Anolis sagrei: one gene and its partner. The main gene of each other region encodes a partner of the protein of the gene in region 2 in a complex. Links are inferred from orthologs where the notes say so. Each region holds a gene or a part of one and is shown on either strand. Other genes may lie near its edges. The genes, in order: YWHAQ and protein capicua homolog.

What was found.
Region 1: the proteins of protein capicua homolog (region 2) and YWHAQ are in contact, whole or in part, in a crystal structure (PDB 6KZG), measured with the Homo sapiens proteins. The link is inferred for Anolis sagrei from reciprocal best matches to the Homo sapiens genes CIC and YWHAQ. Residues at the interface, in NP_001291744.1 of Homo sapiens: Arg1207, Ser1208, Met1209, Ser1210, Glu1211, Thr1212, Gly1213, Thr1214; in NP_006817.1 of Homo sapiens: Lys49, Arg56, Lys120, Arg127, Tyr128, Gly169, Leu172, Asn173, Val176, Tyr179, Glu180, Leu216, Ile217, Leu220, Asp223, Asn224, Leu227, Trp228.

The regions. Positions count from the first base shown.
Region 1 is NC_090021.1:130,703,413-130,718,815, forward strand, and holds the start of YWHAQ (14-3-3 protein theta), read left to right. Parts: upstream 1-8,801; 5' UTR 8,802-9,062; intron 9,063-13,068; 5' UTR 13,069-13,157; coding exon 13,158-13,451; intron 13,452-15,403. UniProt on the Homo sapiens protein: Adapter protein implicated in the regulation of a large spectrum of both general and specialized signaling pathways. Binds to a large number of partners, usually by recognition of a phosphoserine or phosphothreonine motif.
Region 2 is NC_090035.1:84,261,298-84,277,532, reverse strand, and holds the start of protein capicua homolog, read right to left. Parts: upstream 8,161-16,235; 5' UTR 8,039-8,160; intron 7,264-8,038; exon of another isoform or gene 7,051-7,263; intron 743-7,050; 5' UTR 704-742; coding exon 1-703. UniProt on the Homo sapiens protein: Transcriptional repressor which plays a role in development of the central nervous system (CNS). In concert with ATXN1 and ATXN1L, involved in brain development.

The DNA of each region.
Region 1 (15,403 bases), on a different chromosome or scaffold from region 2:
GGGAACTGAGCTGACAAATGGAAGCTCACTCCACTCCACGGATTTGTCCTGGCGGCAGAACGGTTTAACCCATTGCCCCACTGGGGGCTCCTTAGTAATTTAGATGAAAGAGGAGAAAATACATTTTTCATCACTCTCACCTTGCAATCACAGACCTTGGACATCTTCTATCATTTTCTCTCATAGTTGAGATTCTGAAACCACTTGCGTGCAGAGTGCTGGAATACCATTGTATTGACAAGACATTGTCTTGAGACAATATGCATCTAATGTAACATTGATATTGTAACATGCATGGGTAGATAGATGGATGGATGGATGGATAGATAGATATTATATAGCTTTGTATAATAATGCACAAGATGTATTGTGTGCATTCTTCAACTACAGTTTATAAAATGGTGCAAGCATACATTTGAACAGTTTCATGGGTAATAAGCATGGAAATATATAATAAAAAGCACTGTAGTCCACTTAAGGAAACAATTACAAAAATAGCCTGCAGTCATCCTAGATATAAGAAATTTTCCCACGGGAAGAAACATATTTATTTAAGACTGTCCATTCAATTATCATGGTTATCTCTCTATGTAATAAATATGGCCAAAGTGAGGCACATCATCTAAAATTTCAACCAAATTATAGAACTAGAATATTCTTGCCCTCCTTCAAACAGATGTCATACCCATTCCAATATGGTATCCATTTCTACAGTTCACTTTTAAGTAACTGAAAAAAAAAAAGAATAGAAAAATGCTTTTGGAGACATTAGTCCTGATGAAGGAATGATGAATGTATTATGATTCCTTTCATGACCACTTTTGTTTTTGGACCATGATGCCATTTGGCTCCTTTCAATTCTCAGTGTGTCCAGTGCACCTGGATATGATTCACTACAGGAACAGGAAGTGTGGGCAAATGTGATGTAATTTTTCCACGGCGAGAAGATTAGCATCCTCATCTATGGAGCCGATTATAAGAACAATCATTGCATTGTGAAAAGGAGTGAGGATAACAACAAGCTTTGGAATAATAATGAGAGAAAGAGGAAAAGGCTTGGGGTTAGGGTTTGTGGACCTAATTTATTTTGATGCTAATCAGCCATTACATCAGCCAACGTCAAGATGAGTGATCAATATTTAACATAATATTTGTTCTGTGTCTGTTCTGCGTTAGCATCCATGCTTCTCCTAAGCTCCAAAAAACATGTTTGCTGAACAATGAGAATCTCTTCTCTTGCATGTATGACATTTGTTTCATATTAATCAGAAGGCCAACTATAGGGTACATTAAATTAACCTGGGTTGTTGTAGGTTTTTTGGGCTATATGGCCATGTTCTAGAAGAATTATCTCCTGACGTTTCACCAGCATCTGTGGCAAGCATCCTAAGGGGTTGTGAGGTCTGTTGGAAACTAGGAAAATCAGGTTTATATATCTGTGGAAGGTCCAGGATGGGAGAAAGAACTCTTGTCTTTTTGAGGAAGGTGTGAATGTTTCAATTGGCCACTTTGATTAGCATTTGATGACCTGACAGTTTTTTGGTGTGGCTTGTTACTGTCGGAGGGGATTCTTTCTTGAAGGGTGATTAGGTGTTCCTGATTATTTCTTCTCTGGACATCCCCTGTGTTTGAGATTTGTTCTTTATTTACTTTCCTAATTTTAGAGTTTTTTTAATACCGGTAGCCGCGAAAAGTGAAAATCCACGAAGTAGGGGCGCTATGTATATATCACATTCCAAGGGTAAGACAGAAGTGAGGAGAGATTTAAAGGCACCACACACCTTTTTTTTTTGTTTAGATATCTCTGCTTTGCTTTGCAATATCTCTTGATTGGTTGCCTCTCTCCCAAGGGGGAGGGTGAAACCCCCTTCCACATTCCATCATGCCAGGAAAAACAGGATTAGAGCGCCGCTCTGGGCAACAGCAACCATTCATAAACTGGGATGCAAAAACCCGTGAAACGGGTCCACAAAAAGCGAACTGCAAAGTAGTGAGGGAACACTGTGTGTGTGTGTGTGTATACACACACACACACATACACAGAGCAGAGTTTCAGAAGTGTTCTTTTTAGTTGGAGGTTGGACGCTACAGACAATGCTGTTGCCTGTTTTTGGTCAAAAGATATTTAGCCACTTGTGCTCCTATTTTTAACATTTTTGTACTAATTTATGTAATGCTTTTGATATGAAATAATGATGACGACGACGATGATGATGATAATAATAATAATAATAATAAAAACACGAGAGGACATACAATTGAAAACTATTTTTCCACATTTCCAGAGGCCCTGCACCCTTAATCCCAGAAAATGTAGAGGATGCATTAATTGATATTAAAAACAACCATTAATGTGCCCAATTCACCCTCCACATTCTCTGGGAGCAGAGGCACAGGATCCCTGGAAATGTGGGGAAACCATGAGCAAAAAACATGAGAGAACAGCTGTCTTGGAATCTAGTCCTGCATGACCTTATGGACAACATCCAACAAAGCTGACTATTGACTCACACTGGAAAACCTAGAGAGTCCTGCAGAGTTGTTCTCTCTAGGAATCTCTAGGTCGTCCAGCATGACTTTATGATCAATGTCTGGTGGGAAATGAGTGGAATAACTAGAGTTTCCCAGCGAGAATATTTTAATCAAGTCTGTAAATAATCAACTCCATAAAAACCAAGCCCACAAATCTGGGGGTCAACTGCCGTTAAAAGTCCTTTCCTTAGTAACAGGGTTGTTGCCAAAATCATTGTGAGATTTGTTTTGTTTTCTGTTTTTAAAAAAGACCTTGCTTTCTGCCTGAAGGACAAGGAAACAATCAGCTTGGCCTTGCCTACTAAGGAGGTCAAAGATTTGGAAGCAGCCAACAGACATTGAAAAAACCATTTCCCCATCTCTTCTATCTGTACTCCTGAGGATGAAGACCTCAAAGCTCAAGCATGGTTATGTGGGAGAATACAGTCCTTCAAATAGCCCAGATCCAAGTCAAATAGGACGTCACAGGTCATAACCAGCATTAGGCAGAACACTTGAGGTGAACCTGGCTAGTTGCCTTGCAAAATCTTGAACTGACAGACTTTATTCATCCCATCCAGAGTGAACTATCATCTGGCAGAAGCTCCCATCTTAACCGTAACTGCCTTGAAGTAAGCCTAACTTAACACAAGGGGAACCTATTTCCAAGTAGCTATGGTTACCATCGGACCATTTGTACATTATGACTCAGAACATAATTTAAGCAACATAGAAAGAAAAAAAATGTTTTCCAGTTGCTTTGGGTGGATGCGGTCTGAGTTCATTTTACTAAATGCCATTGTTACAGGACATTTTCCATATGGGATAAAGGGACAGGGTTATGATTTCTGTTCTAGCCACCATCTGAATTAAACCTCAGTTCCACATTGTTGGCTGAATTTTGAAATGTCTTGGTTTTTCTCTCTCCACTCCACTTTCACCTTTTGGCCTCAGCTTTCTTCAGTTTCTGCAGGCTGAGGCCCCTTCCACACAGCTGCATAAAATCCTACATTTTCTGCTTTCAAATGGAATACATGGCATGACTCAGATAACCCAGTTCAAAGCAGATATAGTGGGATTTTCTGCCTTGATATTCTGGGTTGTTTGGAAGGGTCCTTAGAGAGGAGGGGAGAGTCTTGCCTTTTCCAGTACATTCAGGCACAAGGAACCTCAAGTGCATCTACAATGTGGAATTAATGCAGTTGGACACCACTTTAACTGCTATGGCTGCATGCTATGGAACCATGGGAGTTTAAGGCTATATTGCCCTATATCTATTCTCTGTTTTGAACTGGATTATATGAGTCTCCACTATCAGATAATCAGGGATAAGAAGATAATTTGGGATTTTTTTTTCATGTCAGGAGTGACTTGAGAAACTGCAAGTAGCTTCTGGTGTGAGAGATTTTAACTATTTTAATATGTGATATTATAGATGTATTTAACTATGTTGTGCTCCATCTTGAGTAGAAAGCAGAGGCAGGTAATAAATAAAATATTATTTATTAAATGGAAACAATTAAAAATAGAACAGCTTTCAAATAAAAGCTACTTCTTCAAAAACATCCAGTCTGCAAAGGCCTTTTTATGAAGATGCCTATTATTATTATTATTATTATTATTATTATTATTTTATATTATACTTATTATTTTACTTGTCTCACCTAAAAATAGGGGGTACTGATATAAGCAATGCAGGTGCTTCTCGCCATCCCAAGAAAGGCACCCCAAATCTTAGAAGCCACCACTGAAAACACATTGTCTTTGTATCCCTACCAAAGAAGATTGCAGGAACAGTTCGGTTTAAACTTCAATGCAGGAACTGGATGCTTAGATCTCAGAGAGATGCTTTGGACTATGGACTGTTGCTTCTAAGGAAAATGCCCTGTGATACCTACAAAGATAAACTACTACAAAATCCTATTGTAACTGGATTCATAAGCAAAGTGCCTGTATGCTGTATACATGAAGTTTTGTGAGTAAATCAACTGTTACTTTTAAAGAAGACTTTATTTTGTCTCTTGAGAGCATGATTTAAAGGCAAATATATTTTAAGGGAGAGTAGATCTTTTTGGGCAACTAAAAAGGAATACTTCTGAAACTCTGCTAAATATATGTTTTTGTTCATTGACATGTCTTTGTCCTTAGCAGTTCAAAGACATACCTAGGTACATCAGTTCAACAGCTGAGAGACCTAGTTGCCTTGCATGAATGCTGGTGAAAGCAATTTTTTTCCCCAAAAGGTTGTGATTTCTAACAAGGTCATGCCTTTCCATTGATGAGTGGATTTCCAAAAAGGTTATGAATCCCATTTCCCAAATGGTTTTGGAGAGTCACATTTTCCAAAAAGGGCGATTGTGCCGGAGGTGATAATGTAGGTAACCTGGCCCCTCAAACTATGGGTAATGTTTATTTTTTATTTATTGTTGATTTGATGTGTTATTATTTGTTCACTTTCTTTTTATGTATCTAACTGCACTTCTTCATGTTATGACCTGCCCTGAGTCCCTCGGGGAGATGGGCCTGGGTACAAATAAAGATTAATATTACTATGTTTTTTTTAAAAAAAATAATGTTATTGAAAATTTTTACATAGTAGGTTGATATTACTATGTTAAGGATCAGTGTAGATGTGTATGTTGTGTTGTTGGACTCAGACTACCACCAGTCCTGGACATCTTCCACTAATGGGTTCCATTTAAAGAATAAAACAAAATGACATCTTCCCTATGCTCTTTATGCAAATCGCATATTTTTCTAGACCTACTCATTCCACCAAGACATTGATATAATGCAACTCAAAATTCTCAAAGTGTCACAAATCCTTAGTTAAACTTACCACAACAACTCCAAGTGATGGGGTATCCTACCTGCTCTGTGACTTTACACAACATACTCATACATCTATATAAATAAAAATGTAATGTTAGTTTGTGGGATTAACATAACTCAAAAACCACTGGACGAATTGACACCAAATTTAGAAACAATAACACCTATCAGGCCAACAAGTGACCATCACCCATAAAAAAAATTGAAAAACACAGCAAAAAATGCTTTAAAAGCATTTTTTTAAAAAAAAAAATACAATGCATGCACAAAACCACATATACAAAAAATATATACACTCATATACACATACAAAATACATATACACAGACTGGGCCACAGCAACGTGTGGCATGGGATGGCTAGTACTGTATAAGAAAGCAACAAGTAGGTAGACCCAATATCCTTTCTAACAAAATAGGGTAGGTTTTTTCTATTTAAGGTAATGATTCTCAGAAGATGATCAATAACAATCCTGCTAATTTTGAAAACACTGATCAGGTTATGTTAAAGATTCCCAAGCTCTCATTTGATTTTTGTTTTGCTATTATGTATAAGAGACACCGTTTTATTAGGCTGTAGGGGCAATGGCTCACCAGAACATGGCATATAATGGGACTTGAGCATCCACGGATTGGAGTATCCACAAAAGATCCTGGAACCAAACCATAGCAGATTTCAAGGGTTCAATATATGCCTACCGAGCCCACACTTTGCACATCAGAGAAAGTGAGGCTGAACCCCTGGAAGTTCATGCCAAATATTATTATGATACTTTTCACCTGCGCTCACAACTTCTGAGGATGCCTGTCAAGAGATGTGGGCAAAACGTCAGGAGAGAATGCTTCTGGAACACAGCCATACAGCCTGGAAAAAATCACAGCAACTTAATTGTTATTATTAAAATGATTTTAAAATATTATTTAATTTAAATATGTTATATTTAAGGTGACATTTCTTTTTTGTTGTTGATGCAACAGATTCAGCAGCCATTACTGTTGCTGTGGACAAGATACTTGGAGGGATGAGAGTGACCGCAGGGGGATTGGCAGAGTGGGTGAAGGTGGTGGTTAATGCCTCCCTTTGGGAAAATAACATTCCAGTGAGCTCAAAACAAGCTGTGATAAAAACTGCTGTTGAAAAAACCATCACTGGACCCCACTCAATTCGTCAACTATCGACCTGTTTCCAATCTACCCTTCTTGGGCAAAGTCCTGGAATGTATGGTGGCCTCACAACTCAAGGTATTCTTGGAAGACATGGATTATCTGGACCCAGCACAGTCTGGTTTTAGGCCGGGACATGGTACCAAGACAGCCTTGGTTGCTTTAGTGGATAATCTACGCCAGGTGCTAGACAGGGGGAGTGTGTCCCTGTTGGTTCTGCTGGACCTCTCAGCGGCCTTCAATACCATTGATCACAGTATCCTTCTGGGATGCCTCACAGGAATGGGCCTTGGAAGCACTGTTTTGCAGTGACTCCAGTCCTTTCTGGAGGGTCGCATCCAGAAGGTGTTGTTGCGGGACACCTGTTCAACTCCACAACCATTGTCTTGTGGGGTTCTGCAGGGCTCAATACTGCCCCCATGTTATTTAACATCTACATGAAGCCACTAGGGGAGATCATCTGGAGTTTTGGGGTGCGGTGTCACCTGTATGCAGATGACATCCAACTGGACTGGATGAGGGCAAACAAATAGAAATTGAATTCAGACAAGACAGAGGTACTCCTGGTCAGTCGTAAGGCTGAACAGGGCATAGGGTTACAGCCTGTGTTAGACGGGGTTACACTCCCCCTGAAGGTGCAGGCTTGCAGCTTGGGTGTGATCCTGGATTCATAGTTGAGCCTGGAACCTCAGGTCTGGGTGGTGACCAGGAGAGCATTTGCACAATTAAAACTTGTGTGCCAGCTGTGCCCGTACCTTGAGAAGTCTGATTTGGCAATAGTAGTCCATGTTCTGGTTACATCCCATATGGACTACTGCAACGTGCTCTACGTGGGGTTGCCTTTGAAGACTGTCTGGAAGCTAGAAATGGTCCAGCGTGCGGCAGCCAGGTTACTAAGAGGAGCGGCGCTCAGGGAGCATACAACTCCACAGTGCGCCAGCTCCACTGGCTGCCAGTGTGCTACCAGGCACAATTAAAAGTGCTGGCTTTAGCCTATAAAGCCCTAAACAGTTCTGGCCCAACTTACCTATCCGAACATGTCTCCCCTTATGAACCTTCCAGGAATTTAAGATCATCTGGGGAGGCCCTGCTCTTGATTCCACCTGCCTCACAGGTGGGCTTGGTGGGGATGAGGGACAGGGCCTTCTCAGTGGTGCCCCCTCAGCTGTGGAACTCCCTTTCTGGGGATATTAGATCGGCCCTCTCCCTCCTGACCTTTAGGAAAAATCTGGCTCTTCGACCAAGCTTTTGGAACCTCATTGTAACCAGATATACTGTGAACGGATATGGAACGACTTGACGATGCAAATGGACATGGATTTAAACCTGGAAGTCATTTTTTATAGTTTTAAATTGTTTTAATATGAATTTTATTATGTGATTTAATGTATTTACGTGTCTTCGGCATCTAATTGTGGCCAGTCTGTATGCCGCCCTCAGTCGCCTTTGGGCTAAAAAGGGCAGGATAAAAGTGTGATAAATAAATCCATACATAAATATATAACGAAGGGCCGCGTTTGCAAGGCAAGGCAAGGGGCGAAGCATCAGAACTCATTAGCTTTGCAAAAGCCTCTTCCTGGCGCAGAGGAAAGGGTATATTGATAGGGATTAGGAGAGGAGCTGCCGCTATTTCTGGATCCCCGCGAGGCCATGGCTGGTCATGCCTTGTAACGTTGCCCGCTAAGCCCCTGCGAAAGCCACCCTCCTTGGCTTTGAAGGCGGGATGCCTGCTCCAATTCCGGCATTTCCTCCGCATGGAGGACTCAAGGTCTTTATCTGCGGCTCGCATTCCTCCCCTGAAGACTTTGACCTTCCTTCCTGTGCTGCTTGGTGGAGGCAGCAGCAGCAACTCAGCATGCATGGCAAACCCTCCTCCTCCTCCTCCTCTCCCGTTTGCTTTTCCCTCCCGCTTTGCAAGGAGCAGCACGAGACGGTGCCTGACTCCCTGCCCTCGCTTCCGCACCGTCTCGTGCCTCGCCCTGGCTCCTAGGGAAGAGCCGCTTTTGCGCATGTGCGGGGGAGAAAAAAAAAAAGAACAAGGGAGAGGAGAGGAGGGGGGTTGTAGCGGCGTCGCTATGGCGACAGTGACGTCATCCCACCCTGGATCTAATTGGAGGAAACCCCGTGGCCCCAGCTGCCGCAAGCACCGGCCAACCGAGCTTGGGCCCTGCTGGTTAGCTTAGTCCTCTCCGCGGCCGCGCGCATGGCTGCCATTGGCCGCCAGGGACCTCGAAGGCGGGGCCCGGGCAGGGATCGCCGGTGCCGATTGGCCGAGCCGCGAGAGCGCGGGCCCTTGCCGCGGAGTGGGTTCGCGCTTTGTGCCAACGCCCTGTAGCAGCGACGCTGTTCCTCGCGCCTGCGACGGGAGCGGCTTTCTGTCTCTCTCTCTCTCTCTCTCTTCCTCCCCCGCCCTCCTCCTTCCTCTCCTTCCTTCCGTCCTTCCTTGCTTCCTTCCTTCCTTCCGAGCGCAGTCGACTTGAGCAGAAGGCGCGCGCCGGCACGGCCTCGCGCCCCCCTGAGACTCAGCAGCGGCAGCAGCAGCAGCGGCGGACTCAGGTGAGGGAAAGGGGTCGAGGAAGAAAAAAAAGAGAGAGAGGGCGCGAGGGCACGTCCTCGCGCCGCGGGTGGCCTCGCCTCTCTTCGCCTCTCCTCGCGGTGGCGTCCATTTTGTGGAGGACGGAAGAGCCGCGGAGGGAAGAGAGGCAGCTAGAAAGAGAGAGACACACACACACACACACAGAGAAAGAGAGGCGGCACCTTCACCACCAGCGCCGCCATTTCGCACCGGCCTTTTCTGGAAGGCAAGGGAGGCGCCTCTCGGTCGAGTGGGCCTTCCCCTGCCCTGCCCGCTCACCTTCTTTTCCTGCCGCCCTTCTGAAGGGAGGTGGGGGAGCCCTTCTTCCTTTGTACCTCCTCATCCCCTTCCTGATCCCCTTGTGTTTCACCGTTTTGCTTTCACTCCTCTCTCCCCTCACTCCCTTTTGCTGTCCTCTCTTTCCGCCTCCTTCCCCTTTTTTCTTCCCTCCCCTCCCCCATTTTCCTCCTTCCCTCCTTCCCCTCCCTTCTGCGGACAAAGATTTCACACCTTGGGCGCGCCCTCCTCTTTCTCCTCGCTCCCTCCTTCTTCTCCCTTCCACACAGCCCTCTTTCCCAGAATATCAAGTCAGGAAATCCCACAATACTTGCTTCGAACCGGGGTATCTTGGGGGCCCTTCCACACAACCCTCTATCCCAGAATATCAAGGCAGGAAATACCTGCTTTGTACAGGGTTATCTGAGGGCCCTTCCACACAGCCCTCTTTTCCAGAATATCAAGGCAGGAAATCCCACAATACCTGCTTTGAACCGGGGTATCTTGGGGGCCTTTCCATACAACCCTCTATTCCAGAATATCAAGGCAGGAAATACCTGCTTTGAACCAGGGTATCTTGGGGGCCCTTCCACACAACCTGCTATCCCAGAATATCAAGGCAGGAAATCCCACAATACTTGCTTTGAACCGGGGTATCTGGGGGCCCTTCCACACAACTCTCTATCCCAGAATATCTCACATTATTTGCTTTGAATTTGGATATATAGAATTGTGGACTCAGATAACCAAGGGCCCTTCCACATAGCTGAATAAAATCTCGCATTTCTGCTTTGAACTGGAATATATAGAAGTGTGGGCTCAGGGCCCTTCCACATTACTATATAACCCAGTTCAAAGCAGATAATGTGAGATTATATACAGATGTGTGGAAGGGGCCTTAGATAACTCAGCGCCCTTCCACACAGCCCTATATCCCAAAATATCTAGTTAGAAAATCCCTCATCTGCGTGTGGACTCAGATTTATATATTTTTTGTTCGTGTCAGAAGCGACCTGAGAAAGTGCAAGTCTCTTCTGGTGTGAGAGAATAAGCTGACTGCAAGGACGTTGCCCAGGGGACGCCCAGATGATTTTGATGTTTTATCATCCTGTGGACTCAGATCACTCAGTTCAAAGATATTCTGGGATATAGGGCTGTATGGAAGGCCCATTACCTTTGAAAGGAGTCTTACCCACACAGTGATGTGAAAGTCACTCTATGTTGGAATCCTGATTTTTTTACTTATTCTATTTTGCCAGGCATTGACAACACCTGAATAGTTCAGAATATCTGCCAGCCTCATATGACCAACCAGGGAAGGGCAGGGTCAGACAGTGCATGGACACAAAAGCCCTTTTTGATTTGGGGCCCTTCCACACAACCATATAACCCAGAATATCAAGGCAGGAAATCCCACAATATCTGCTTTCAGGTGGGTTATCTGAGGGCCCTTCCACTCAGCCCTATATCCCAGAATATCTGCTGGGTTTGAGTTCCTACTCAGATAATGTGCAATTTTCTGCCTTGATATTCTGGGACATAGGGCTGTGTGGAAGGGCCCTAAATTATCTGAATCCACACTGCCGTATATTCCAGTTCAAAGCAGATTTTCTGCCATGATATTCTGGGATATAGGACTGTGTGGAAGAGCCATCAGATAACCCAGTTCAAAGCAGATATTGTTAGATTTTCTGCCTTGATATTCTGGGCTATATGACTCGGTGTGGAAAGGCTCCCACTCCTGGCCTTTCTTCTTGGCCCCTCTTTTGGCTTTATTCCTGTTGCTCATTTCCTTGTTTTGCCTGCCAGGCTTTCCCACCTCAAGGTGCATTTATACTGCAGAGTGAATGCATCATGGCACCCCTTTGTAACTGCCATGGATCAGTGCCGTGAAATCCGAGGTCTATAGATCTGTGAAGCACCTGCCCTCTTAGGCACAGATGGCTAAACACCCACCCTTCTACACAGCTATGTAACCCAGAATATTAAAGCAGATAATCCACGATATCTGCTTTGAACTGGGACCCCTTCCTCACAGCGAATCCCACATTTTCTGCTTTGAACTGGAATATATGGCAGTGTGGACTCAGATAGCCCAGTTCAAAGCCGATATTGTGGATTTTCTGCTTAGATATTCTGGGTTATATGGCTGTGTGGAAGGACCCTGGGTTATCTGGGTCCATACTGCCATATATTCCAGTTCAAAACAGGAAATGTGGGTTTTTATTCAGTTCAGTGGGCCCTTCCACACAGCCCTATATCCTAGAATATCAAGGGAGGACATCCCACATTATCTGAGTGTGGACTCAGATAACCCAGTTCAAAGCAGATATTTTGGGATTTTCTGCCTTGATGTTCTGGGTTATTGGACTGTGGAAGGGGCCCCAGGGCCCTTCCACAGAGCTATATAACACAGAGTATCAAGACAAATAATGCATAATAACTGCTTTGAACCAGGTTATCTGAGTCCACACTGCCATATATTCCAGTTCAAAGCAAATAATGTGGGATTTTATTCAGCTGTGTGGAAAGGGCCCCAGTAAAAGGGCAACTCCCAGGAGTCCACAGGATTGAACCATGCCAAGCAAAGGGGGGTGTCGACTGCATTAATTCAGCAGAATAGACGCAGCCTTTGCCTCTCCCGCACCCGGCTTCCCTATTCTAGCCCTGCATGCCTCTGACGCCCTTCTGCACATGTCTTGCATTCTTATTAAAGGCTGCCCTTGATTTGAAGGCTTGATTCTTATTTCTGCAAATAGCACTCCTCCCCATGACTTGATCTCTTTGCTTCTGATTTACAAAAGAAGGGGCTGAATAGCTTTCAGATGCTGTTGAACTGCAGCTCCCATCCTTCATAGCTATGGATGTTGGGTAGAAATGATTGGAACCACAGTTCAACAGCAACACCCAGAATATCCAATCCTGAAGTAGGGACCTCTGTCCCGATCACTATTTCTAAGCACTGTAGGTACACCTGCACTGCACAATTTATGCAGTTCCATACTTGGTTAAGGGTCATGGCCCAAATATATGGGATCATGGGAGTTGTGGTTTTGCAAGGTCTTAAGCCTTTTGTGCCCAAGATGTCTTGTGCCCCACCAAACCACAATTCCCAGGATTCTACAGCACTGAGCCACTGTCCTTAAATTAATGTCAAACCGCATCAGTTCTACAGTGTAGATGCGGCCTTAATCGTAGCAACACAGTTTGAAGCTGCATTGTATGTGTCTACACCATACATGCACAACCCGTGACGCTCAGAAGTGTTTTGGACTTCAGCATTCTGACCATTGGACTAAACTAGGGCTCCTGGGAGTTGGATTCCCAAACATCTGGAGACCACAGATTGTGCTGGTCTGGTCTACATTGACCATATAGTGCAGATTCAAACTGTATTATGTGACAGTGCAGATCCAGCCGGATTGCTATCTTAGGCTGCATCTGTCATATAATCCAGTTCAAAGCAGATAATCTGGATTTTATATGGCAGTGTAGATGGGGCCTTAGGTGACATCCTCAGGGGAGGAGGATCATTTGACCTTTTCTAAAGCTATGTTTGTTCTGTTCTTGCATCTACATTGGCAGCACTTCACTGTTGCTCTCTTTCTCATTGGCCTGACTCCCCACATCCATAGTAGCTCCTCTAGTTGCTTTGAGCAATTGCTTACTTGGAATGAGCACAGATTTCAGAACGTCTCCTTGTGCTTGCAGGTTTTCTGGTGCCTTCTCTTGACTGTGTGAAAGGCCTCTCTCTCCTCCCCAAGCCAGTTGTCTCGCTGCTTATACTGCTGCTGGCCAACATGGAGAAGACCGAGATGATCCAGAAGGCCAAGCTGGCTGAACAGGCGGAGCGCTATGATGACATGGCTACCTGCATGAAGGCAGTGACAGAACAGGGCGCTGAATTGTCCAATGAAGAACGCAACCTGCTTTCTGTGGCATACAAGAATGTTGTAGGGGGGCGGCGCTCTGCTTGGCGGGTGATCTCTAGCATTGAGCAGAAAACCGATGGCAATGACAAGAAGATGCAGCTTGTCAAGGACTACCGAGAGAAAGTGGAATCTGAGCTTAAGTCCATCTGTACTACGGTTCTGGTAGGTTGGCTTCATCTTACATATTATTAACCTGCTATCCATATGATAGAGAATTAAATGGAAGAATCCCCCATTGCTATTAATTAATTGTTACATTGTGTCTTGTACCTTATCCAAAAAGACAGACTGATAGAAAATACAGAATTTCGTGGTGCTGTGTTGTTGGAAATTTTAAATCTGCCAATAGAAGCTTAGTTCTAATTCTCAGAACAAACTTCTAATGACTTTTCACCCATTAGCTTATGTTCCTCTTGCTTGTGTATTAATTTACTGTATTATCGTTTGGACTGTTTGGAGAACATCTACTGGAAATAATGGAGAACAGGCAAGTGAATAAGCATGATGTCAGGAGGTGATTGTGAAAAAACCCCAAATATTGCCTACTGTAACAACCCAAAATATCAAGAAATAGGCATGCTGCTATGAGAAAACTCACAGCATTTTATATTTTGAGTATATTTTCTTTTTATTTCATTAAACATGTTTCTGTGATGTTTAAAGAGAGTATGACTTTGGCTATTACTGCTTCTTTATTATTCCACATCTGGGGTCCCTCGCCATTCTTGTATCATGTACTTTATAGATTATATGGAGTACTGATTTGACATTATTTCCACACCATTTTACAATTGTCTATTTTAATTGCCAAGTAAACTTTTTTTATTTGCAGGATACATCATATTACTGCCAGAAGAGTTTAAGAATGTATTCTTGAAGTATTGCTTCAAGAATGGGTTTACTCTAAAAATGTGGATATGAAGGCATACCCTTGATACACATATATGCACATATATACAGTAAACACATGTTGAATTCTTTCAACAGAGTGATACCTAATAAACACAAGAAAATTAATTAAGATATTTTCTAAATATATATCTACTCCCAGAAACTTAAAGGCCTTAGGCCTTCAAAAATTATTTTGATATTTTTTTTATTTTTAAACGCATATACTTGGGCTTAATATATTAACAATCCATCTTGCACCCATATTTGCCCAGAAGTACAAAGATAGCATGACAAGTTGTTACTTGATTATTGTAATGCAGGCTATTATACACCACACATTTTGCAGCAATTGAAAAAAAATACACCTCTGCTAAGTTTTGGCTTATATCAGTGGTTCTCTCTCAACATGTGGGTCCCCATATATTTTGGCCCTCAACTCCCAGAAATCCTAACAGCTGGTAAACTGGCTGGGATTTCTGGAAGTTGTAGGCCAAAACACCTGGGAAGCTACAGGATGAGAACCACTTGTTTAAATGCTTTGTGTTCTTTTAGGCTTAAAAGACATGATTACAGTTTCCAACCGCATCAGTACATAGTCCCCGTCCCCCCCAGATTTATATTTGCAGAACAGATATTAAAGTAGTAAAAATTAAGGTTTTTTTTAAAAGAACAAACTGAAAAGACAAGATTTCATTCAAATAAAAAATGTTTGATTTTATTAAGTGCTGATACTAGAAATTATTGAGAACTTGGGAAGGCTCTTGCTTTTTTTGGTGCATAATATAACAGTAATAAGGATACCAGGTGAGTTTTGAGTGCCCCAAGGGTGAAGTGCCATTACCAGAAAACCTACCTCTCCAATTGCATCCCAATGCGTTTCAGATAATTACATCAAAGAGGGAGTGGTCTCAGATGAGCATTGAATTGGCAGGTGAATTGAATCAAGAGTTCGACATAAGATTTTGTTGAAAACCTTGTTTGTTGGACTTTAACACTGGGATCAGCAACCTGGGCCTTCTGAAAAGGTTGTTGGACTGTAGTCCCTCAGCATTGGTTGATAAAAGTTACAGTGTAACCACATCTTGAGGACCCATTCCTTTGAATTAAGTTTGGGCACTTTGTGAGCTGGGAAGTTCTTTAGCGTAGTCAGATGATTATTTGCCTGAATGTTGTTAACAGACTAGATGTTGTGTTCTGGATTAGCTGCAGTTTCCAATCTATTC
Region 2 (16,235 bases):
CCAAGACCACCTCCACGGAGCCCGGGGCCCCCTCGTAGAAGGCCGTGGCCCGGTCCCCCAGGAACTGCACCCCCAGGCCCTGTCCACGCCGGACCTGCTTGACCACAGCCGGGAGGAAGAGACCCTCGCGTCGGGCCAGCACCCTCTGAGAGCGCAACTGTCGCAGGTCGAAGCCCCCCCGGAAGCGGGCCCCCCAGGCGTCCCCCGGGCCCCTCTCGGTCTCGTCTGCTGAGTGCTCACTGGCCGTGTCCGTGCTGGAGGAGGGGCAGCGCCGGGGGGCTTCCTCCAGGAGCGGGGTCCCCGACGTCGAGGCCCCCGACACCCCCTCGCCGGGCTCCTCTCCTTCTCCTCCTCCCCCCGGGGGCTGCTTCCTGCAGGGAACGCGGGCCTTGAAAGCGGCCGTCTTGCGGTTCAGGGAGGCCTCGGCCCCGCCCGCCTCGGGCCCCATGTCCGTCTCCGCCTCGGGGGGCAGTGCGTAGGGGTCGCCCTGGGCCCCCGACATCTCCACAAAGGTCAGGGAATGCTTTGCGTCCGGATCCTCCGCCGGCTCCACCTCTTCCTCCGGCCGGGGCTCCTCGCCTTCCGCGGCCGTCCTGCGCTTCTGGGCTTTGGCTCGCGTCGAGGGCGGAGAGCGACCGCTGCTATTGCTGCTACTGCTGCCCGAGGAGGAAGAGGAGGGGGCGGCCTTCCTCGCCGGTTTCATCTTCTTCTCCCGTCTGGGATGCAAACTCACTCGGGGGAGCTGGAAAAAAAGAAGAAGGAAAGCGGGTGAGGAGGGGGGGGCACTCATCCGGTCAGAATCTCCCTCTAATACAGACCCCAGAGATTAGGAAAGTTCCTTTTTCAGGCTCTCCCCTGCCCCCAATTTCATGGGGACCACAAAGGGAAAACCCGCAAGGTCCGCTCCGAGTTCCCCCAAGTAATCACTTGTGTCCCCCCCCCCCCCCAACTCTGTGGCTATCCCAATGATACTTCCAGCCGGGGGAGGATGTTGCAGGACCCATAGTTGCCCAAGAGGATGCTGGGAGGGGTCCCAAAGCTGAACGGAAATATGATTTGGATCATGTGATTTTATGCTTTTTAATGGGTTTGTTTTCAATGTTTTTGTTTATTTACCAACGTATTAATACATGGCATTGAATTGTTGCCTTGGTCAGGCCGCCCTGAGTCCCCTTCCGGGTTGAGAAGGGTGGGAGATAAAGGGGGGAAATCAATAATAAACAATAAATAAATAAGCGCAAAAAGCACAAAAGGACACACATCCCCCACACACACACACAGGGCTCCCACCTCAACTCCACTAGCCCCACTTGAACTGCCATGGCTCCACGCTATGGAATCCTGGGATTTGTAGTTTGGCGTGTCACCAGCATTCAGCAGAGGACGCTTTATTGCACCGCTCCATCCCAGCCTGAGAGGATCTGCTAAACCAAACCCCAAAGATCGCAATCGGAAGAGGAGGGGTCCTCTGGGAGGCCTTTCCCCTCCTCTACCAAAGGAATGCAACCTGCAACTCCCAGGATTCCATTGCATGGGGTGGGGGGGGCACTCATTCCCACCCAGTGAATTTAAGACGAAGGCAGGCCCAGCGTTTCTCCCCCTCCTCCCCCAGGAAAGCACTCCAAGGACACATGGAAACGCAATGGATTGGGGCCAGGAGGAGGAGGAGGAGGAGGAGGGAAGGGCCCCCAGCCTCAGCAGCAGAGGGCTCCACCAAAGGAAGCGGGCAGAAATTGGAATGGAAGAATTGCAAAATTAAAGTAGCCTAATTAATCCATCTTGGTGGCAATTGGTATAGATCAGCTCATTACAGAAATATATCATCACAAAGGAAGCCCCCCCCCCTCCCCTGGAGCACTAAGATTATTCGAATTTGTCTGCAATTTATTTATTTATTTATCTTAATTTTTTATGCCCCACCCTACTCAGGGTAGCTTATAGCTGGCAATGATTCGATGCCCCTATATACATATAATAAAAAAATTACATATAAATAATTTTATGCAAATTTTTATGCAAATAATTTATATGCAACTACAACTAAATCAATTCAATTTTTTTAAAAAAAAAAACTGTTCTGTGACCAGTTGTTGTTCATTCGTTCAGTCGTCTCTGGCTCTTCGTGACCTCATGGACCAGCCCACGCCAGAGCTCCCTGTTGGCCGTTACCACCCCCAGCTCCCTCAAGGTCTCTGTGACCAGAGAGTCTATCAAAAGCTTGTCCGTAGTCCAATGACAACCCGATCCAAGAACAAGTCCCACAAACATACCAGGCCATTCAGGAAACACAATCCGGGTTGTTCAATGGATTGGGATTAGTTTGGGAACCAGATTCAAAACAGGTTCTGGGGTGTCATAACTTTTTCAGGCTGTGTGGCCACATTATTATTATTATTATTATTAACAACTTTATTTATACCCCGCAAAATCTCCGGAAGGACTCGATGCAGCTTACAAAGGCCAAGGCCGCAACAAACAACAACATACGAATATCACAATAAAACTCATAAGCAAATAGTAAAACGTTCAGTTGCTGCTCTTAGTTTGGAACTTAGTTTGGAGAACCCAAGCTTATAAATGGCTCTCAGCACCACACTTTGCATAGATGGTACTATTATCCACTCAGGACATGCAGAATTCATGACTATGCTGGAGAAGAGTGTGGAGAGTGGGAACAGCTGTTGGAATCTCAGGCTTCTCTCTTCTGGTAGGAGGACTCCCGAATTTTCAACTCATGACTTGTGTCTCTGTATTTTAACATGTTTTTATGTATCTTTATAGGGTTTTTTTTGCAGTGTTCATGTGTTTTAATCATGCTGCAACCTGCCTCCAGCCACAAGGAGAGCTGGGTAAGAGATGAAATAATAATAATAGTAATAATAATAATAATAATAATAATAATAATAGTTATTATTATTATTAGTATGGATCATAAGCCGAATCATGGGGAGCGGGGACACAATACACTTTGGGGAAGCTCTGTGGACCATTTCTGGGTCTGAACGTGCAAATAAGGATCTGGAAATTAAAAGTATTTTCCCGTTCCTGTTCTGTGTGCCTCCGGCCCCTAAAGGTAAAGGTTTTTCCCTGGCATTAAGCCATGTTGTGTCCAACTCTGGGACTCTGGTGTTCATCTCCATTTCTAAGCCAAAGAGCCGGCTTTGTCCATAGACACCTCCAAGGTCATGTGGCCAGCATGACTGCATAGAATCATAGAATCAAAGAGTTGGAAGAGACCTCATGGGCCATCCAGTCCAACCCCCTGCCAAGAAGCAGGAATGTTGCATTCAAATCACCCCTGACAGATGGCCATCCAGCACGGAGAGCCATTACCTTCCCGCTAGAGTGGTACCTATTGATCTACTCACATTTGCATGTTTTTGAATTGCTAGACTGGCAGAAGCCAGGGCTGACAGCGGGAGCTCACCCTGCTCCCTGCATTCGAACCTGTGGCCTTTTGGTATGCAAGTTCAGCAGCTCAGTGGTTTAACCTGCTGCACCACCGGCTCCTTCTACACTGCCATATACGATCCAGATTATAATCCGCTTTGAAGTGGATTATACAGCAGTGTAGACTACGGTGTAGGCCCCTAATGCACAGCTTTATACAACCCACCTTGAACTGGATTATCTGGCAGTGTGGACTCAGATAACCCAGTTCAAAGGTGTTGTCTTATTGATAATGTCGCATATCTTATTGTCCATGTTTTTTTTATTTTAATTGCTTGTATTGTTGTTATTATTGCTTGTATTGTTGTATTTGGGCTCGGCCTCATGTAAGCCGCACCGAGTCCCTTGGGGAGTACAAATAGTTATTATTATTATTATTATTATTATTATTATTATTATTCAAAGCAGATATTGTGGATGATCTCCCTTGACATTCTGGGTGATTGATTGATTTATTATTTATTGATTGATGACATTTCTATGCCGCCCTTCTCACCCCAAAGGGGACTCAGAGTAAATACAATATATTATATTATTAGCATAGTGCAATATTAGTAACATACATTTCCATATTGTACTACACCAGCATACTGTAATATTATTAGTAATATAAAATATATAATTTTATATTGTATTGTTATTAGTATTATATTGTATGACATTATTTTATTATCACTATTATATGTGTATACAATATTTAGCACAGTACAATATTAGTATTATGTATTACTATTTTTTTTGTCGTGTTAGGAGTGACTTGAGAAACAGTGGGTTAAGCCCCTCCTGTGCCGGCAGGACTGAAGACCGATAGGTCGCAGGTTCGAATCTGGGGAGAGGCAGATGAGCTCCCTCTATCAGCTCCAGCTCCTCATGTGGGGACATGAGAGAAGCCTCCCACAAGGATGATAAAACATCAAACATCTGGGCGTCCCCTGGGCAACGTCCTTGCAGACGGCCAATTCTCTCACAACAGGAGCGACTTGCAGTTTCTCAAGTCGCTCCTGACACACAAAAAACCCAATATAGTAATACATAATACTAATGTACTATATTACTATATTGTAATGTTAGTACAATATGGAAATGTATGTTTTGCTTTATGAGTTTTATTGTTGTATTTGTTATGCTGTTTTATTGAGGGCCTTGGCCTTTGTAAGCCACACCAAGTCCTTTGGGAGATGTTAGCGGGGTACAAATAAAGTTAATAATAATAATAATAATAATACTATACCACTATACTGTAGTGGTATAGTGCAACACCCAAGGCACTCCAAGTGTCCAGCGACTGGTCAAATGACATTTAATAGAATGCCATGTCTGCAAAGTTTGTGTTTTGTTTGTTTGTTTGCTTGTAATACAATACAACTGTTTTGGTTCGCTCCTGACACGATAAATAAATAAAATAGCACTATACTGTAATATTGTTAGTAATATTACATGTGATACAATAGTATACTTCTTATATTTTACTAGCTGTCCCCTGCCAGGCGTTGCTGTGGCCCAGTCTGTTGATCTGGAAAATAAAATAATGAGCAAGCGTTGGTTTCTAATCTATGTAATTTCTTTATGGGTTGATGTGTAAGTGTTGATGTGGAGAGTGACTGGTTTGCCTACTCTGGAACATGCAACAAATCATTGTCCTTCTTTAAGGGTTTCTTTCAAATCTCTGTGTCTGAATCATATCTATCTATCTATATCTATAACTGGATGGCTCTCTGTCAGGAGGGCTTTGATTATGTTTTCTTGCCCTGATGAAGAGAGTTGGATTGGGTGGCCTTAAGTATTTTCTGATGGTCATGGGGGTTTTGTATGGGAAGTTTGCCCCGATTCTGTCGTTCGTGGAGTTCAGAATGCTCTTTGATTGTAGGTGAACTGTGAATTCCAGTGACTACAACTCCCAAATGTCAAGGTCTATTTCCCCCAAACTCCATCTGTGAGCATATTTGGGCATATGGAATATTCATGCCAAATTTGGTCCAGATCCATCATTGTTTGAGTCCACAGTGCTCTCTTGATGTAGGTGAACTACAACTCCCAAACTCAAGGTCATTGCCTACCAAACCCTTCCAGTATTTTCTGTTGGTCGTGGGGTTTCTGTGTGAAAATTTGGTCCACTTCTATAATTTGTTGGTTTCAGAATGCTCTTTGATTGTAGGTGAACTATAAATCCCAGCAACTACAACAATTCCCAAATGTCAAGCTCTATTTTCCCCAAGCTCCATCAGTGTTCACATTTGGGCATATAGAGTATTTGTGCCAAGTTTGGTCCAGATCCATCATTGTTTGAGTCCACAGTACTCTCTGGATGTTGGTGAACTACAACTCCCAAATTCAAGGTCAATGCCCACCAAACCCTTCCAGTATTTTCTGTTGGTCATGGAAGTTCGGTGTGCCAAGTTTGGTTCAATTCCATCACTGATGGATTTCAGAATGCTCTTTGATTGTAGGTGAACGATAAATCCCAGCAACTACAACTCCCAAATGAGAAAATCATAAATTTTTTTGAGTGACGGTCACTCCTTGTATTGTGAGATGTTTTCTTGCCAAATTTGGTGTGATTTCGTTCATTGGTTCTTTTGTTTTTAAGGTACTCATTATGCAAAGAGCATTTATATACATATACTCAGTTCTTGTGGGTTTTTTCTGCATCTATGGCAGGCATCCTAAGAGGGAGTGAGGTCTGTTGGAATTAGGACAATGGGTTTATATATCTGTGGAATGACCAGGGTGGGACAAAGAACTCTTGTCTGCTGAAGCTAGGGGTGAATGTTTCAACTGACCACCTTCATTAGCATTTGAAGGCCTGGCTGAGCCTGGGAAAATCTTTTGTTGAGAGGTGTTAAGATGTGCAGATATATAAACCCAATTTTCCTACTTCCAACAGACCTCACTCCCTCTGAGGATGCCTGCCATAGATGCAGGCGAAACGTCAGGAGAAATGCCTCTGGAACATGGCCATATAGCCCGAAAAAACCCACAAGAACTGAGTGATTCCAGCCATGAAAGCCTTCGACAATATATATATATATTGTATATATATATGGAATAGAATAGATAGATAGATTAGTATTAGTATTATATTGTAACTCATTATAATATTATTGTAGTATTTGGCTGTGTGGGAGGGGACTCCGCCTGCCTCCAAGCAGGGCCTTGTTGCCCCCCAGGAAGGGCAGGGAGGGGGGAGGCGCTTCGGGCAGAGGAAGTAAACAGGAAGTAAACAGGAAGTAGGGCGGGACATGGCTTTGCTGTCCATCCAAATACCCCTCCCTCCCAGAAAGGCCACTTCCCCTTGACCCCAGGGAACCCCCCAAAAGGGAAACCCTGCCCCCTCCTCTCCCTCCCCATTGGAGAGAGGGCGATGACGTCACGGCCCTCTGCTTATGCTCAGGGGCGCCCTTGTTCCCTTAAAGCCCCCCCCCCCGGCTTCTGGGCCCCTTTCTCTGGAGGGTCTCCACTTCCGGGTTTATTCAGGGGGAGGTAAACTTGGAGATTCCAACTTCCGCCTTGCCACCCCCCCTTTCCCTCCTTCCGCCCCCTCCCCTTCCCCGTGACCCTTGATCCCTCCCTCCCCACCCCCCATTTCCTGCGACCCCTGACCTCTTGCCTCCTCCAGCCCCACTTCCGGGTCCTCTTGGGGAAGCGTGACCTCTACTTCCTTCCTTCCTTCCTCCTCAGGTGGGGGGCGCTCTTCCTCCTCCTCCTCCTCCGGCGCCCCCTCCCCTCTCTGCCAGCCGGAGCCCCCTCTCGGCCGCTTTTTACTCCAACAGACAAAATGGTGAATGAATCCGGACCAGCTGGAGGCGCCGCCCAATCCGAGGCCACAACTCCGTGACGGGCAGGCCGCGCGGCCAATCACCGTGCGCGAGGGATGGCGCATTGCCCCGCCCCTTCTCCCCCCGTCAGACGGGCACCAAGCGCCGCCTATCGGTGCCTCAGAGGGACAGGGAAGCCCCGCCCCTCAAGGGAGAGGAGCACTTACAGTAGCCAATCGCAGACGAAATGGGCGGGAACCAGAGACATTCCCTAATGAGGACCAAGGGGCGGAGTTAAAGGCCTTGGGCTTGTTTACTTGGCGCCGGAGGGGCAGGATGGGAGTTGTAGTCCTTTGAGTCCCCTCCGGCCCTCCCTCCTTCCAACTCCCGGCGCCTAGGAGTTATTGTGCGAGGGAGGAGGGGCAAAAGGGAACCCGGAAGTCCGGACTACAACTCCCGGGGTGCACCGCGAGCGAGGCCCCGCCCCCATTTCCCCTCAGTCGCTCTCCCAGGCGAGGGAGGTGCCGGATGTTTGTCTCCTTGCAGCAGCCGAAAGAGTCTGTAGGTGAATCCTGAGAGACTACAGCTCCCACAATGCTTTCCATCATTGGCCTCCGCGCAAGGCTTCACGGGACTTGTAGTCCTCGGGGCGGCCCTCTCTGCAGGATGTCCCCGGGGAAAGACTACAGCTCCCGTCAGGCCCCGCGGAGCCAACTCTTGAGGAGGAGGAGGAGGAGGGGGGCTCCCAGCCCGGCGCCCCCTCCCTCCTTCCCTCCCTCCCTCCCTCTGGGGGGGGCCTCATTTGCATGCCATTAGCATGCGCTTCCACTCACCGCTCCGGGCCCGCCGGCCTCTCTCTCTCTCTCTCCGCGCTGGGCCTGCTCGGCTCTCCCTCAGCAACAGCGGAAGCCTCCTCCGCGGCCAATCAGCGCCCGCGCCGGGACCCCCTCCCTCCTTCCCCCACGTGGGGCGCGAGGGGCGGCCAATCCCAACCCGGGGCGGCCGAGGGATGAGGTCACCGCCACGGCCCCGCATTGGCCCCTGCCGCCGAGCCCGGCAGCCAATCCCGGCGCGCCTTGCCCAGAGACGCGGAAGTCGGGAAAGAGAGAGGGCTCCTCCTTCTCGGCGGCGGCGCGTGGACACGTGTCCGGACACACGTGTGCACGCAAACAGGTCCTCACGTGCAGCTCAAAGGAAAGCCCCGCCCACCCGCAATTCATCCTAACGTCAGTCAACCTTTGTTTACAGGCGCCTTTGGAACTCCCCGCCTCAGTATGTCGAATCAGAGAATCCTAGAATTGGGAGAGACCTGGAGGACCAAGAAGCAGGACAATCGCGTTCAAAGCACCCCCGACAGATGGGCCACCCAGCCTCTGCTTCAAAGCCTCCAAGGAAGGAACTTCCTTCCGCTGGACTCCGAGGCAGAGAGTTCCACAGCTGAACATAGAATCCTAGAGGGAAGAGACCTCATGGGCAATCATCCAGTCCAACCCCATTCTGCCAAGAAGAAGGACAGTCGCATTCAAAGCACTCCCGACAGATGGCCATCCAGCCCCAAAGCTTCCAAAGAAGGAGCCTTCATTTACAGGCGCCTTTGGAACTCCCCGCAACAGTATGTCGAATCAGAGAGTCCTAGAATTGGGAGAGACCTGGTGGACTAAGAAGCAGGACAGTCGCGTTCAAAGCACCCCCGGCAGATGGCCACCCAGCCTCTGCTTCTAAGCCTCCAAGGAAGGAACTTCCGCTGGACTCCGAAGCAGAGAGTTCCACAGCTGAACATAGTATCCTAGAATTGGGAGAGACCTGGCGGCCCATCCAGTCCAACCCCATTCTGCCAAGAAGCAGGAATATTGCATTCAAAGCACCCCTGACAGATGGCCATCCAGCCCGTGTTTAAAAGCTTCCAAAGAAGGAGCCTCCACCACACTCCGGGGCAGAGAGTTCCACTGCTGAACGGCTCTCACAGTCAGGAAGTTCTTCCTCATGTTCAGATGGAATCTCCTCTCTTGTAGTTTGAAGCCATTGTTCCCTTGCGTCCTAGTCTCCAGGGAAGCAGAAAGGAAGCTTGCTCCCTCCTCCTCCTCCCTGTGGCTTCCTCTCACATATTTATACATGGCTATCATATCTCCTCTCAGCCTTCTCTTCTTCAGGCTAAACATGCCCAGCTCCTTAAGCCGCTCCTCATAGGGCTTGTTCTCCAGACCCTTGATAATTTTAGTCGCCCTCCTCTGGACACATTCCAGCTTAGAGTCAATATCTCTCTTCAATGGTGCTGCCCAGAATTGGACACAATATTCCAGATGTGGTCTGACCAAATCGGAATAGAGCATGGGGAGCAGGACTTCCCTAGATCTGGACACTAAATCCCACAACAACGAACCAGGGATGAGCTTGCAGCACAGCCTAGTTTGGAAGAAGTCAGCAATGCCATCAGCCAACAAAAATATAACAAAGCCAGTGGACCAGATGGGATCCCTGCTGAAATCTTCAAAGAGGGAGGACCTGAGCTGGCACCACAACTCCCCTGGCTCATAGAAAAAGTGTGGGTGACCGAGAAAATCCCAGCCGACTTCAAGGACGCCACCATCATCACTCTCTTCAAAAAGGGGGAAAGAACAGACTGCGGAAACTATCGAGGTATCTCCCTTTTAACCTCCGCTGGGGACCTTATCAAGGCATTCGACACAGTGAATCGCAGCGCTGTCTGGACCATCCTCCACAAAATTGGGTGCCCAAACAAATTTGTGACCATCCTGCGGCTCCTCCACGATGACATGATGGCAACAGTCTTGGATAGCAATGGCTCCCAAAGTGACCCATTTAAGGTGGAATCGGGTGTCAAACAGGAATGATGTGTTATTGCCCCAACTCTATTCTCCATCTTCATCGCTATGATACTTCACCTTGTTGATGGGAAGCTTCCCACCGGAGTGGAAATCATCTATCGGACAGACGGCAAGCTATTCAACCTCAGCAGACTATAACAACATCTGTTATAGAACTCCAGTATGCTGATGACAATATCGTCTGTACTCATTCAGAAGAACTACAACATTGTTATAGAACTCCAATATGCCGATGATAACATAGTCTGTGCACATTCAGAAGACTTATTGTTATAGAACTCCAATATGTCAATGTTAACATGCTCTGTAGGCATTCAGAAGAAGACCTACAACATTGTTATAGAACTGCAATATGCCGATGATAACATAGTCTGTGCTCATTCTGAAGACTTACAACATTGTTATAGAACTCCAGTATGCCAGTATAACATACTCTGTAGGCATTCAGAAGAAGACCTACAACATGGTTATAGAACTGCAATATGCCGATGATAACATGGTCTGTGCACATTCAGAAGACTTTTAACATTGTTATAGAACTCCAATATGCCAATGATAACATGGTCTGTGCGCATTCAGAAGACTTTTAACATTGTTATAGAACTTCAGTATGCCAATGATAACATAGTCTGTAGACATTCAGAAGAAGACATACAACATTGTTATAGAACTCCAGTATGCCAGTGATAACATACTCTGTAGGCATTCAGAAGAAGACTTACAATGCTGTTATAGAACTCTAATATGCCAGTGATAACGTAGTCTGTGTGCATTCAGAAGACTTACATTGTTATAGAACTCCAATATGCCGATGATAACATAGTCCGTGCGCATTCAGAAGACTTACAACATTGTTATAGAACTCCAATATGCCAGTGATAACATACTCTGTAGGCATTCAGAAGAAGACTTACAATGCTGTTATAGAACTCCAATATGCCAATGATAATGTAGTCTGTGTGCATTCAGAAGACTTACATTGTTATATAACTCCAATATGCTGATGATAACATAGTCCATGCGCATTCAGAAGAAGACTTACGACATTGTTATAGAACTCCAATATGCCAATGATAACATACTCTGTAGGCATTCAGAAGAAGACCTACAACATTGTTATAGAACTGCAATATGTCAATGATAACATGGTCTGTGTGCATTCAGAAAACTTAGATTGTTATAGAACTCCAATATGTCAATGATAAGATAGTCTGTGGGCATTCTGAAGACTTACAACATTGTTATAGAACTCCAGTATGCCAGTGATAACATACTCTGTAGGCATTCAGAAGAAGACTTACAATGCTGTTATAGAACTCTAATATGCCAGTGATAACGTAGTCTGTGTGCATTCAGAAGACTTACATTGTTATAGAACTCCAATATGCCGATGATAACATAGTCCGTGCGCATTCAGAAGACTTACAACATTGTTATAGAACTCCAATATGCCAGTGATAACATACTCTGTAGGCATTCAGAAGAAGACTTACAATGCTGTTATAGAACTCCAATATGCCAATGATAATGTAGTCTGTGTGCATTCAGAAGACTTACATTGTTATATAACTCCAATATGCTGATGATAACATAGTCCATGCGCATTCAGAAGAAGACTTACGACATTGTTATAGAACTCCAATATGCCAATGATAACATACTCTGTAGGCATTCAGAAGAAGACCTACAACATTGTTATAGAACTGCAATATGTCAATGATAACATGGTCTGTGTGCATTCAGAAAACTTAGATTGTTATAGAACTCCAATATGTCAATGATAAGATAGTCTGTGGGCATTCTGAAGACTTACAACATTGTTATAGAACTCCAGTATGCCAGTGATAACATACTCTGTAGGCATTCAGAAGAAGACTTACAATGCTGTTATAGAACTCTAATATGCCAGTGATAACGTAGTCTGTGTGCATTCAGAAGACTTACATTGTTATAGAACTCCAATATGCCGATGATAACATAGTCCGTGCGCATTCAGAAGACTTACAACATTGTTATAGAACTCCAATATGCCAGTGATAACATACTCTGTAGGCATTCAGAAGAAGACTTACAATGCTGTTATAGAACTCCAATATGCCAATGATAATGTAGTCTGTGTGCATTCAGAAGACTTACATTGTTATATAACTCCAATATGCTGATGATAACATAGTCCATGCGCATTCAGAAGAAGACTTACGACATTGTTATAGAACTCCAATATGCCAATGATAACATACTCTGTAGGCATTCAGAAGAAGACCTACAACATTGTTATAGAACTGCAATATGTCAATGATAACATGGTCTGTGTGCATTCAGAAAACTTAGATTGTTATAGAACTCCAATATGTCAATGATAAGATAGTCTGTGGGCATTCTGAAGACTTACAACATTGTTATAGAACTCCAGTATGCCAGTGATAACATACTCTGTAGGCATTCAGAAGAAGACTTACAATGCTGTTATAGAACTCCAATATGCCAATGATAATGTAGTTTGTGTGCATTCAGAAGACTTACATTGTTATATAACTCCAATATGCTGATGATAACATAGTCCATGCGCATTCAGAAGAAGACTTACGACATTGTTATAGAACTCCAATATGCCAATGATAACATAGTCTATGGGCATTCTGAAGACTTACAACATTGTTATAGAACTCCAGTATGCTGATGATATCATACTGTATGCATTCAGAAGAAGATTTACAATGCTGTTATGGAACTCCAATATGCTGATGATAATGTAGTCTGTGCGCATTCAGAAGAAGACCTACAAGCCACTCTAAACAAGCATACGTGAAGCTCGGCCTGTCATTGAACATCAGGAAAACCAAAGTAATCTTCCAGCAAAAGGCAACAGCTAACCCTTTCTTTCTTTCCTTCATCCCTTCCTTCCTTCATTCCTCCATTCTTTCCATCCTTCTATCTTTTCTTCCTTCCTTCCTTCCTTCCTTTTTTTCTTTCATTCCTCTCTTCTCTCCTCCTTTCTTTCTTTCTTTCTTTCTTTCTTTCTTTTTATGCCTGCACTTCGGTGGGGGGGGGGGGGCAAACTGAGCCCCTCCCTCTTCTTCCTTCCTGGAAGTGCCCTTTTTTGGGGAGGGGGTGACTCTTTTGGGACCCCCCCCCCCATTTCTGTTGGAAGGGGCTGCGAGAAAAAGGCACTTCCGGAAGTGGCCCCTCAGTGGCGCTTGTGGGCCCTTCCCTCCTAGTGATGGGGGGGTGAACTGGGGTCAAAGGGCAGCAGGAAGGTGACACCAATATTGGGGGGGGGGTATCTCTTAGTGATCAAAGGTTTGCTGGGAGGGGAAGGGATTTTTTTTTGGAGGGGGGACGATCCTGGGGTGCCCAAGCATGCCTCTGAGCATGGCCAGAATGCCCCCCCCCCTCTCTCTATATATATATGGAGAGTGGGAATCATAATGCCGCATTATTTATAATGTGGTGTCCTATTTATAAATAACCGGGGCCCAGAAAGGTGGTCCTCCCCCAAAACCTCCCCCCTTTTGGGGGGGGGCAAACGGTTATAGGGGGCAAAGAAAGCCCCCTCCCCCCCAAAAAAGTGGTGGAAAGGAGCAAGAGGGAGAACAACAAAGCAGAAGCACACCCCCCCCCGCCAGGGGTCAAGAGTCAAGGGTCAAGGGGGGGCAAAGGGTTATGGAGGGCAAAGAAAGAACCCCCCCCCCCCCAAAAAAAAGTGGTGGAAAGGAGGGAAAATGTGAAAGAGGGAGAACAACAAAGCAGAAGGACCCCCCCCCCCCCCGGCCAGGGGTCAAAAGTCAAGGGTCAAGGGGGGGCAAAGGGTTATGGCGGGCAAAAAAAGCCCCCCCCCCGAAAAAAAAGTGGTGGAAAGGAGGGAAATGTGAAAGAGGGAGAACAACAAAGCAGAAGGACCCCCCCCCCCCCTCAGCCAGGGGTCAAGAGTCAAGGGTCAGGGTTGGAGAAATTCCCACCAGGCAGGCTAGGAACAGGTGGGGAAGGGGTGGCACCCAGACTAGCCCCTCCCTTTGATGGGGGGTCCCTGCCCCTCATCCTCCCCCCCCCCCATTCCACCGCATGCAGGTGCCTCCCCCCCCCTCCCCCCACGGTCCAGGCCCATCTGTCTTGGCGGCTCAACCTGGATTAAGAGTCTGTGCCGGGCGGGCGTTTGGGGACCCCCAAGTCCTGCCCCCCCCTCCCCCCCCCCCCCCATTATCCACTCCCTTCCGGATGATTCTGTGTGGAGTTATTTTCGCCTTCCTTGAAAAGTAGTGGGGGTGGGAGAGGCTCTGGGCTGACCTTTGCCCTCTTGGCTTCCCCCTCAGCTGTTGCCATTCTGAGGGGCTTAAGCAGGACGCTTAGCCGCATGCCTGGCGCGCCTTGGCCAGAGACACCCCCCCACCCCACCCAACGCCAGCCGCCCACCAAGGAGAGGAAGGAGACTCGGCCACACCGTGGTGGTGGTGGTTGTTGTTGTCCTTGGGGATCCATGGCATCCTTCCCTCAGTGCCCTGATGGTGAACCTATGACACGCGTGTCAGCACTGACACGCATAGCTATTTTTGATGACATGCGGCCACATGCATACAGAGAAGTACACCTTATAAGAGCCAATCTAATTCCATCCTTCAATGTGTAAGAGGCTCTACAAATTTAACATCTGCACATTTGAGCATTGTTCATAGAATCCTAGAATCATAGAATCCAAGAGTTGGAAGAGACCTCCTGGGCCATCCAGTCCAACCCCATTCCGCCAAGAAGCAGGAATGTTGCATTCAAAGCACCCCTGACAGATGGCCAGCCAGCCTCTGTTTCAAAGCTTCCAAAGAAGGAGCCTCCAGCACACTCCAGGGCAGAGAGTTCCACTGCTGAACGGCTCTCACAGTCAGGAAGTTCTTCCTCGTGTTCAGGTGGAATCTCCTCTCTTGTAGTTGGAAGCCATTGTTCCAGAAAACAAGCTTGCTCCCTCCTCCTCCCTGTGGCTTCCTCTCACTTATTTAAACATGGCTGTCATATCCCCTCTCAGCCTCCTCTTCTTCAGGCTAAACATGCCCAGCTCCTTAAGCCGCTCCTCATAGGGCTTGTTCTCCAGACCCCTGATCTGCTCCCTCCTCCCCGTGGCTTCCTCTCACATATTTATACATGGCTCTCATCATATCCCCTCTCAGCCTTCTCTTCTTCAGGCTAAACATGCCCAGCTCCTTAAGCCGCTCCTCATAGGGCTTGTTCTCCAGACCCTGGATCATTTTAGTCACCCTCTTCCTCTGGACACTTTCCAGCTTAGAGTCAATATCTCTCTTGAATTGTGGTGCCCAGAATTGGACACAATATTCCAGGTAAAGTGGTCTAACCAAAGCGGAATAGAGCATGGGGAGCATGACTTCCCTGGACCTAGACACTAAATCCCACAACAACAAACCAGGGATGAGCTTGCAGCACTGCCTAGGTTGGAAGAAGTCAGCAATACCATCAGGCAACAAAAAGAATTATTTATTTATTTATTTATTTATTTATTTCACAGTTTTCTATACCGAGCTTCTCAACCTCATTGAGGGACTCAGCCCGGTTTCCAGCCATAAAAACGTATACACTCATTAAAATATCATATATCACAATTACAAAAACAACTTTAAAAACACTATATATAAAAGTACAGTGGTCAGTCGTCCTATTAAGATGGATCTACATCAACTTCCATCCAGGGTCCTATGGTGTTGTCTCAAATAACAAAGCCAGCGGACCTGATGGGATCCCTGCTGAAATCTTTAAAGATGGAGGACCTGAGCTGACACACCAACTCCACCAGCTCTGGTTTTTGGCAAATTTTGACACAGCAAGCTCAAAAGCTTGCCTGTCCCTGCCTCAGTGGGTCCATCATTCAATCCCTCGTGGGGAACGTGCAGGAAACGTCCCTCCACATCTCCCTGCACCACCACCACCAACACAGATCTCTCCCCATCGAGGCTCAACCCATTCCATGTAGTTTGTGGCAGCCACAAAAACAATGTTCCTGGAGTCAATGCGTTCGAAGTCAAGGCCGCACCATTCAACGGGGAATCACCCTTTTAAGCCAGGAAGGGAACGGTTTTCCCAATTTAGTTGCATAAGATCATGCAGGCCTGGGCCAACTTGGGCCCTCCTCCCCCTCTCCCTCCCCCAGGTGTTTTGGACTTCAACTCCCACAATTGGAACACACCTT